Linked DNA regions of Kluyveromyces lactis. The protein of the gene in region 1 interacts with the protein of each later gene in a pairwise test. Links are inferred from orthologs where the notes say so. Each region holds a gene or a part of one and is shown on either strand. Other genes may lie near its edges. The genes, in order: MSH5 and MSH4.

Region 1 (4,476 bases):
TGTGAAATTTAAAAATTAGTACTAGATGATATTTAGTGTATCTATATACTCCATGCATTAAAAAAAAACTCGCATTATTCATTCGTGTAATATTTTGCTTTCTGAGTACTCACGAATTAGCAGCTTTGTCCAGCATCCAATATTCTTTGTAGTTTTCTCCGTATTGCATGCTGTATCTTGTCAGAATGGATGGACTCAAGATCAAGATCCCATGCTACAAACTCTTTCGCAATATCCTGGTCAATTCTAAATTGGTTCAATTCTTCGATAGTTAGTTTGCTGTAGTTCTTAGCAATGTCAAATCCATCTGCTATCTGAGTTGTAAGTTCTTGTGCTCTTTGGACAATGCTCTGCCTTAAGCCACAGTTTTTGGCACAGAATATACCAAAAGAGTTCGTGGCAATTCCGGTGCTCAATTTGTACAAAAAGGTAATCATTTCATCTCTGGCATTTCCTTTATTTTCCTTTTCCATCACCTGCAATAAAATCTCGGTTTTATAGAATACTACACCATTAATTTCACTAGTAAGGATGTTTGGACTGAAAACTTCGTTATAATGAGTAGATGCGATCACTCTAGGGCAAGACGAGCTCCTTGAAAAGTCCTTTATAATTGCTCCGAACATAGATAGGCCGTCAATCACATCTGTCCCTTTACCAAACTCATCAATCAAAAGTAAGCTTCTCGGCGTTGCCAATGACAAACACTTGGACATTTGATTTGCATCAATCTCAAATGTACTCTGCGTCTTTGCTACAGATTCCCGAGTCACTACTCTGGTCAATATTTTGTCCACGAGACCAATACGTGCATTATCAGCAGGAACGAAACAACCAATATGAGCAAGAAACACTATAAGTCCGTTCTGCGTTAAAAAAACAGATTTACCAGACGCATTAGCGCCAGTAATGACAGAAATTCTTTTGAAATTATTATTCCAAGTATCATTATCAAAAGTTCCGCCAAGCATGCGAAGGTCATTGGGGATGTATGTGTCTACAAGTGTTTCATATAAGGGGTGCCGGCCGTTTTCAATTTCAATTACACATTCCTTTTCCTCAATGACAGGCTGGACATAATTTTGGCTAATGGCGGTCTTAGCAAATGAGACTAAAACCTCGAGCTCTGCGAAACATTTTCCTGACAGCAAAATTGCTGGCTTTGTATTCAAGACTGCATTTTGTAGTTCAAGTAGGATCTCCAACTCTAAATCGGATATTATTCCATGAAGGTCACCATAGTGTTCGTCCATAACTTTCGTATCATCATTCTTGTAATATATTACATTCTGTTCTCTGAAAATTTCAGTCCAGTATAGCACAGCTGGATCGAACATATCTTCTATGGATGCATCAACACATAGTAAATAACCAAGTTGTGGTAGATATATCGCATTTATCAAAGCATTTCGTCCGTTCAATTTTTTAAAAAGCTTCTCCTCATTACTCTGCAATGTTGATATTAGTGTATTGTTTGCCTCATTTGCCACAAGATTTAAAACACCTTCAAGCTCGAAGTAAGTTCCTCTTGCCTCATCTAGTTCTATACGAACTTTATCCTTTATAACAATCGCATCTTGGTTAAGGGACCCCTCCAAATCAAGAACACTTTCGGTTTTCTTTAATATCTTCAACATCATGCTTTTATCAAGGTCATTTTTTATGGTGTTAAATAACCGGCAATTATCTGAAGAATCGTAGAGAATATGGATTAAGTTTATGATCTCGACAGTTTTGGTACAGAAAGAAATATATTTTCTCCACACTGAGAGTTTTACTGCGCCTTTGCTCATTTCATTTACAATGCTGAATATATTAGGCATGTACTTTAGAGAATTTGAAAGATCGTCGAATAATATCGCATTCTTGCCGTCAATTAGAGATCGTATCACCTTTTGTCTCTCTTCTATTAATATTTTATTAGATAGTGGACTGGCTAACCAGGATTTTAGCAATCTTTTACCAAGTTCTGAAGTAGTGTGATTGAGCAAATCAAACACAGATGAATAGCCGGTTTTTGTTATTTCACAAAAATGTCCTGGTATCTGGATGGGTTTAAAAATATGTAAAGCCGCCAGAGTATCATCATCAAGAAAGAGCCGATCCTTCAACATTAATTGTCTCACTATATTGACCTTTTCGAAAAAATTAAACATCTCACATTCGTCAAAATCAACGGCGGAGAAATGATCCATAGATTTTATCAAGCAGCTCAATGACATGGTTGTCACTTTAGCGGCTTTGTTTGTACCCAATTGGTCCAAGATCTGAAATCCTTGAATATCTATCAATTGTTGGGACTCTTGAAAGTTGTTCCAATGTTGAACAAAATATTCTACTTTAAATTTGTCATGGGACTGCATCTGCAATCTAAAACTGCGCTCGATTGACAAAAATTTGAGGTTTTCATAAATCACTTCCCCTAACCTGCTTGAACACAACACTACGCTAGGTTCATTTTCAAGTATCAAATTTTCTAGAATCAAGTTCACTTCATTCATATTTTCTGAACTTCTGGCATTAACAATAATGTCCTGATTTAGAACCGATAAAGTCTCTTGATTTATGTCCAATAGAGATATTCCAAGCTTGGACTGCTGTAGTTCCAAGCAGAATACTACTTCATTTTCCCAATTAATGCTTTGCTCATGCATGGTTTCATCTGCATATTTTTCCAATACATTTCTGTTTTCACCTTCGGCGGGTATTTCGGTAGCATTGCTATCCTGTATATTCCCAATACCTGGAATTAGTTCAGAATCGACCGACCGATCAATAAATAACGGACGTTTAGCCGTGACTGGCATTGTTGATGGTGATTGGTCTTGAATAATTGCCTGTACCGTTTCTTCCCTTCGTTTTCTTCGCTCTGTCAATAAACAGTGCAGTTTAGTTTTGAAAGTAAAACTGAATAATCTCATTCTTTTCACTTTTAAAGTAAATTTGTGCTGGAAATGAAATTTAAACGAAATATAACATTAGATAAAGAAGTGAATTGACACTTTTTCTTTGCTTTCTTTGAGTTAAGTACTATCTAGATGTGTCGGGAAGGCGTATGAGTAATGATTAGCCGCTCTCTTTTTGTCGAATTTATTTCTGTTCCAACCGACTCTCGGCCATTGAAATCCACTTCGCTACTACAAAAGCAGATTTCCTATGGCGACTCCTCGAGTACTTATCGAATATTGCTTTGTGACGTTCTGTTGCATGTCTGCATGAATCCAAAATCATTGTTGCCAACGGTATTAATTGCTCTTCTGTGTAACCGGAATAATATATGTGTTCGTCAGACCAACCTGTGAGTCCGATAATGATTTTACTCAAGTAATATGCACCTGCAGCAAGCCAAGATGGTGGCGCTGCTATTATTTCTGGCTCCATTATGGAAGTTTCCAATAAATATTTAGCCACGGTTCTTGTATCGTATTCATAATCATCCGCTTTACTAACTCTTCTTAAAAATGACATTGGACCTGGCCATCCAAATTCGAAATTTAACGTATTGATCATGAATCTTTCTGCCCTTAGAATCTCTTCTCTAGTGTATGCATTGTCCAGCATATACAGCATATCTTTCAAAGTTGGACAGTTGATCTCCTCGTATTTGGAAGCAATGAATAGAGCTGCTGCACCGACTAATTGCAACCTGTTCAAAGTGACTTGTTTCTTTGATAAAAACCTATCGATAATGTTTACCGTTAAAAATAACGTCTCAGGTAACAACTGGAACCTATCGTGGACTTGAACAATCCAATCGATCAACGTTGATCTGTATTTCCACGTTAGTTCCGGTTGATGTTCGATATACCTGGGATTCGGCGAAAATTTCCTCTCCAAAAACTTCAAATGTTCAAAAATTTCAATGGTATATTCCGATACCATAACAGGGTCCCATGTGTCCTCATCGTTAGGGTCAGGCTCCTCACGGTGTAACCTCTCATACACATATTGATATAACCTCTCTGAATGTTCCGTTACCACCGGCACTAACGGCGTAAAACTTTCATCTACGTCTTCCATTTCCTCACTTATATCTCCGCCTGTTTCTGCTTCTTCATCTTCTTTAAAAGCTAGTGCCTCACTATCAGTCTCCGCATCATCCTCATCATCTGCTTCAACCTCAATCAAATGGTGTTGTACTGTTTCGTTACTATTGCTAGACAATTGTTGCGACCGTATACTCTCAGTACTCACAGAAGAAACAAGAGTCTGTTCTCGTAGTTTTTGAGCCCGTGCTACTACTAAATCATCGTCATGACCACTAAACAAATCATTCTCCTTCGCATTCTTTACCCTTTTCTCCTTCAAGAATCCAGCATCAACAAACGCTTTCTTGCTGTCACCGTCAACACTAAACCGATTGGCCCTATTGTTAATCTGTGAAGTAACATCACCAAGTGCTACCCTTTGCTGCATTTGCATCATCAATCAAAGACGCGGACTGAAGAACAATTAAAAAAAGAACACAATAAGCAC
Region 2 (4,570 bases), on another chromosome or scaffold:
CATATTGCTTGTCCACAGCAGCCAAACGGATTTGACTGCGGCATATATGTTTGTCTGAATACACTTTATATGAGCAAGGATTACACTTTGAGCTTTGATTCTAAAGATGCAGCAAACATGAGAAATTACATAGGTCATTTAATATTAAGTAAATAGAATTAAACTCTTTTCGTTGACGAATACTAAAATTTGCTATTCTTACCACTTGTTTCAGACTATTTCAAACGTTGAAATGAAATCATCTTGTAGACTTCGCAACTCTTCAATGTCAATTGTTTTTTCATGATTACAAAACGCTTTGAGTTTTTGTACTAAATAATAAACCTGTTTGATTTGGGTAGTTTGACATGCATTATCACAAGAATCTTCCTTTGCAATGATTTTCAAACCTTTTCTTTTGCTAGCTCGAAGTAATTCCGATATTTTGTATGCTTCCAACATAATTCTTTCACTGAAAATTCGTTTACAAATCATCATACCGTATCCTTCTATCTCTTCTGATTCTGTGGAGGCTTTATATTTCATTTTGAGATGTGATTCCTGATCAATCTCAGTTTTCATCTCAAGATGTAAAACACGAGGCTTTGGTGCCAATATTTTAGGAATATCTCTGAAATGTGTCGATAGAAATACAGTAGCATTTTTGGAAAGGAGATATTCCGATATAGCCAAAGCTATAGAGAACCCATCTGCGATGCTTGAGCCACGTCCTAATTCATCTAGGATCATAAGAGTCTTATCTGTTATATCATCAATGAAATATGCCATGTCTTTCATTTCTGCTGAGAAAGTGGATGAATACGCCTCTATGTCATCATTACAGACACGGGCATGAAGCTTCTGATATAGGGGGAAAGATGCAGAAGTACAGGGCACAGGGCATCCTATCTGCGCCAAAATTGTAAGCATAGCAACTTGTTTCAAGTATATTGATTTTCCGCTCATGTTACAACCTGTTACTATCTGAAACGAAGAGAGATTGGGTATTGCCTCTACATCATTCGCTACAAAGTTGGTTAGTGTATTTTCTAAAATTGGATGGCGAGCTCCACTAAGTGATAAATGATTACCAAACGATGCTAAAATCCAGTTATTCTCTAAACCCGTTGTTGCAAGAGAACACAAAAGGTCTAGAACTGATATAGCCTCAGATATCATAAAAAGTGTTGCGATATGAGAAGAAATATTGGATAAAAGTTCACTCACGGTTTGTTCACTCAAAGCTATCATCTCACAAGTAAGCTCAGAGAGCCTTGTATTCATTTTCATTAAGTTCAATGTGGTAAATTCATACGCAGTTTTCTTCGTAACACGATTGATAAAGCAGGAGTCTAAATCAGAGAGCTGGTTAATGTCTTTCTTTTTTAGTTTCAAGTAAAACTGCCGATTAACATCATGTCCATGGCTGAAATTCAATCCAAATTTATCTCTGAGGGAGTCCACTTCTCTCATAATATCATCTGTTAAAGATTTATACAATTGCCTGAGCACGTCAAGAAGACCGTTTGAACCTCTCTTAATAGCGTACGCTTTCTGGTTTTGTAGATCGATAGGTGTAGAAGCCCAACGTGTATCTTCATTGAGATATCGATTGATCAAATCAAAGATGCTGCTAATATCATCTGAACTAAATATTGCCATGATTTCTGACAACAATTTGCTTTCAAATTTGCTTTCTTCGAAAAGTCTCTTAAGCGTTGTTGCACTCTCAATGGATTCTTTCAACAATATGACATAATTGAGCTTTTGATCAGGAAGAATGACGGTGTGATTGAACGAGAGAAGTTTAGAGAAAAGAGCATCCAGGTCATGAAGAACTTTTAGCTCCATCCTAAAGGAATTTAAAAAATCTGGGTTGTTCTGTAGTTCCTGTACAGCAGAAACTCTAAGCTTTAACGAATTAATATCAGTTAAAGGTTGAAGTATATCATTCCTAAGCGCTCTATGTCCCATTTTAGTCACTGTTTTGTCAATTACTTTTAATAGTGTCATTCCATTTGATTCTAGAGTGTTTTCTATTAATTCTAAAGATTGAACTGTTTTCATATCAATCAACATGGTATTGTCACCATTATCAATTCTAACTCTGAAGTTGCTAAACTTTAAAGCTAAATCAGCTTCAGCTATTTGTGTCATGTAGTTGCTAGCCGCAGATACTGCCATAAGACAAAACTCTTTACCGATTAATTGTTCCGCGAAAGGTACAGGAGACTTGTTTGTACCAAGTAAGGCGAACTTTTCAAGAACTTCTAATCCCTCTTGAGGATTGTAAACTTTCGTGGCCGCCTCGCATATCTTTACATTGTCGGAAATATTGCATTTGACTATAGTCGACAACTTTGAAACTTTTCCCGACAATGAATGCGATGGAATGAGGATTTCAGTGGGTTGACAGACGTATATTTTGTTTAAAGTTTTAATAAAGACTTGAGTATCAATGAATTCTGAAACGTGCATTTCCGCAGTTGAATAATTTACCACGCAAATTCCAACTCGTGTATCTGCATTTTTCCCAGACTCGAATATGCTAAATATTGTCCTGTCAGGCCCTACAACAAGTCCAGAGGTAGTTGTAGTAATCTTTTTATTTCTTGACGTATACCTTGACTCAGATTTGGATTGCCTAGTTTGCATTGATTTTCTGATTGGCAAAGAACAATCCCTTTCCTGCTGATGATTTGATAATTCAAAAATAGTTGGCTGCCTATCGACTTTACGTTTCTTAGATGTTGAGTGCCTGCTAACCCTTGAATTATTTTGAGATTGATTATCCGATGTAGTGGTTCCGACGGAAGAAGTGCCTTCGACCGAAGACGATTCAAAAGCCCACTTTGCGAAAGATGTAACATTACCAGATGTTGTCGCTGTGTTGTTCATTCTTTAATGGTTAGATTATTTAGCTCAAGTGCTATTTCCTCCGTGACCTCTTTCAATACCTCTTCCTCTTTCGTGTTGATCTTCTCCTGTTGTTCAGGTTCAGGTTTATTTATATGAACCTTTGTTTTCGTTTTCGATTCCGGCTTAAATTGTTTGCCGCTGAGGTTTTCCAAATCTTCGAGCCAGCACAACTCTTGGGCAAGCAAAAAGGCTGCATAATCTGCAGAGCCCTTGAATATCAGATCAGTATCTTGGCGTGAGGTCTTGAAATCACCAACTATCTCACGGTTCAGTAGCACCCTAAGCCACGAATTCGGTGCCTCCATGGGTAACGATGCAAACGGGTACACAGTTAAGGACGTACCACAGACAATACAAACTGTTTTTTCCTTCGTAGAGCTATCCAAATCCCACGTATCGAAGAACTCGGTAGGTAACCCTTCACCGAAGAATACAATCTTCGGTTTAATCAACCCGCCACATCCATCACAAGTAGCATAATTTCCGCCGTCCTCATCGGTTTCTTGTTCGTTTAATAGTAATTTATTTTGAAAAGCTTCCTTTGGGAATTCTTTACCACAGTCAATGCAATGGTTTGACGCAAATGATCCGTGTGCTTCTATAATGAATTCATCGCTGATATTTGCTTCTCTTTCCAAAGTATCTATATTCTGGGTATATATTCTTTTTAACCGGTTTTTGCTCTCGAATAGTTTCATCAAATAATGGAACGGAGACGGCTTGAAATTACCAGGATACAACTCCTTTGCAAGAGTATAAAACGGTTTGGGATTCTGTTCGAAGTATTCTATATCGAATACAGCTTCAGCATAAGGAAGATTCAGTTTTGATAAGTTATGGTAAAGCCCTGTTTCTGGAGATCTGAAATCGGGAATTCCACTAGAAGTTGATATTCCAGCCCCAACCATGAATATAACTTTCACATCAGGATTATCCTGGAGGTATTTGGCTAACTTTTTAATAGCCTTCGGTATTTCAGCAGACATAGGGATGGGCAATATGGCACCGCGAAACGAAAGCTGGATCTATAAAAATCGAACCAAAAAAAACACTAAAAAAGAGGTTCAAGTAGTAATTACTGAGGTAGTATACCCTAGTAGGTTTGTATGACCAGATATACGACGATATGTGGGAGGTTCACCTTATGAAGCTGATTAATAGATGAATATCCGGTATATAGTATGGATAAAGAATATAATTAACTTACCTTCCTTTTCATGGTGGAGCAGAGTGAAAAAAAAATCAAAAAAGAAAACGACCCCGGAGAGGATTGAACTCTCGATCTTGCGATTAACAGTCGCACGCCTTAACCAGCTTGGCCACGGAGTCACGTTTCTGGTGTTTCCGATTTCCTGTCCAACCATACTCGGGTAACAACCGGCTTCACCATGGTATTACTCATAATTCCACTTTCATGCCATCCTGTTGCAAGCAGGCCACATTCTTCTTAGGCTGTTTCAATGCAACCACAACAAAACAATACACACATTACTAATACCTTCTATTTAACACTTGAATGGCTGCCTCTCTTAATACAGCCATCTCTATCTATTCTCACGAACTTGCGGTCTTTTGGTGGGCATTTTTTCCTCTTTCGCCCCGATAGCATTCTCAACCCAAGAATTCCCAGGAATTCCCTGGGAATCCCGAGCATTAGCGTGACTTACCGCGA

The links.
Region 2: the proteins of MSH5 (region 1) and MSH4 interact in a two-hybrid assay, tested with the Saccharomyces cerevisiae proteins (2 studies listed by BioGRID). The link is inferred for Kluyveromyces lactis from reciprocal best matches to the Saccharomyces cerevisiae genes MSH5 and MSH4.

What each region holds. Positions count from the first base shown.
Region 1 is NC_006039.1:1,436,885-1,441,360, forward strand, and holds MSH5 (MutS family protein MSH5), read right to left. Parts: upstream 2,922-4,476; coding exon 117-2,921; downstream 1-116. Other genes in the region: rRNA-processing protein SAS10, read left to right, coding at 1-19; KLLA0_C16445g (cyclin family protein), read right to left, coding at 3,091-4,425. UniProt on the Saccharomyces cerevisiae protein: Involved in meiotic recombination. Facilitate crossovers between homologs during meiosis.
Region 2 is NC_006042.1:1,016,004-1,020,573, forward strand, and holds MSH4 (MutS family protein MSH4), read right to left. Parts: upstream 2,878-4,570; coding exon 211-2,877; downstream 1-210. Other genes in the region: SUMO protease ULP1, read left to right, coding at 1-156; histone deacetylase HST2, read right to left, coding at 2,874-3,884. UniProt on the Saccharomyces cerevisiae protein: Involved in meiotic recombination. Facilitate crossovers between homologs during meiosis.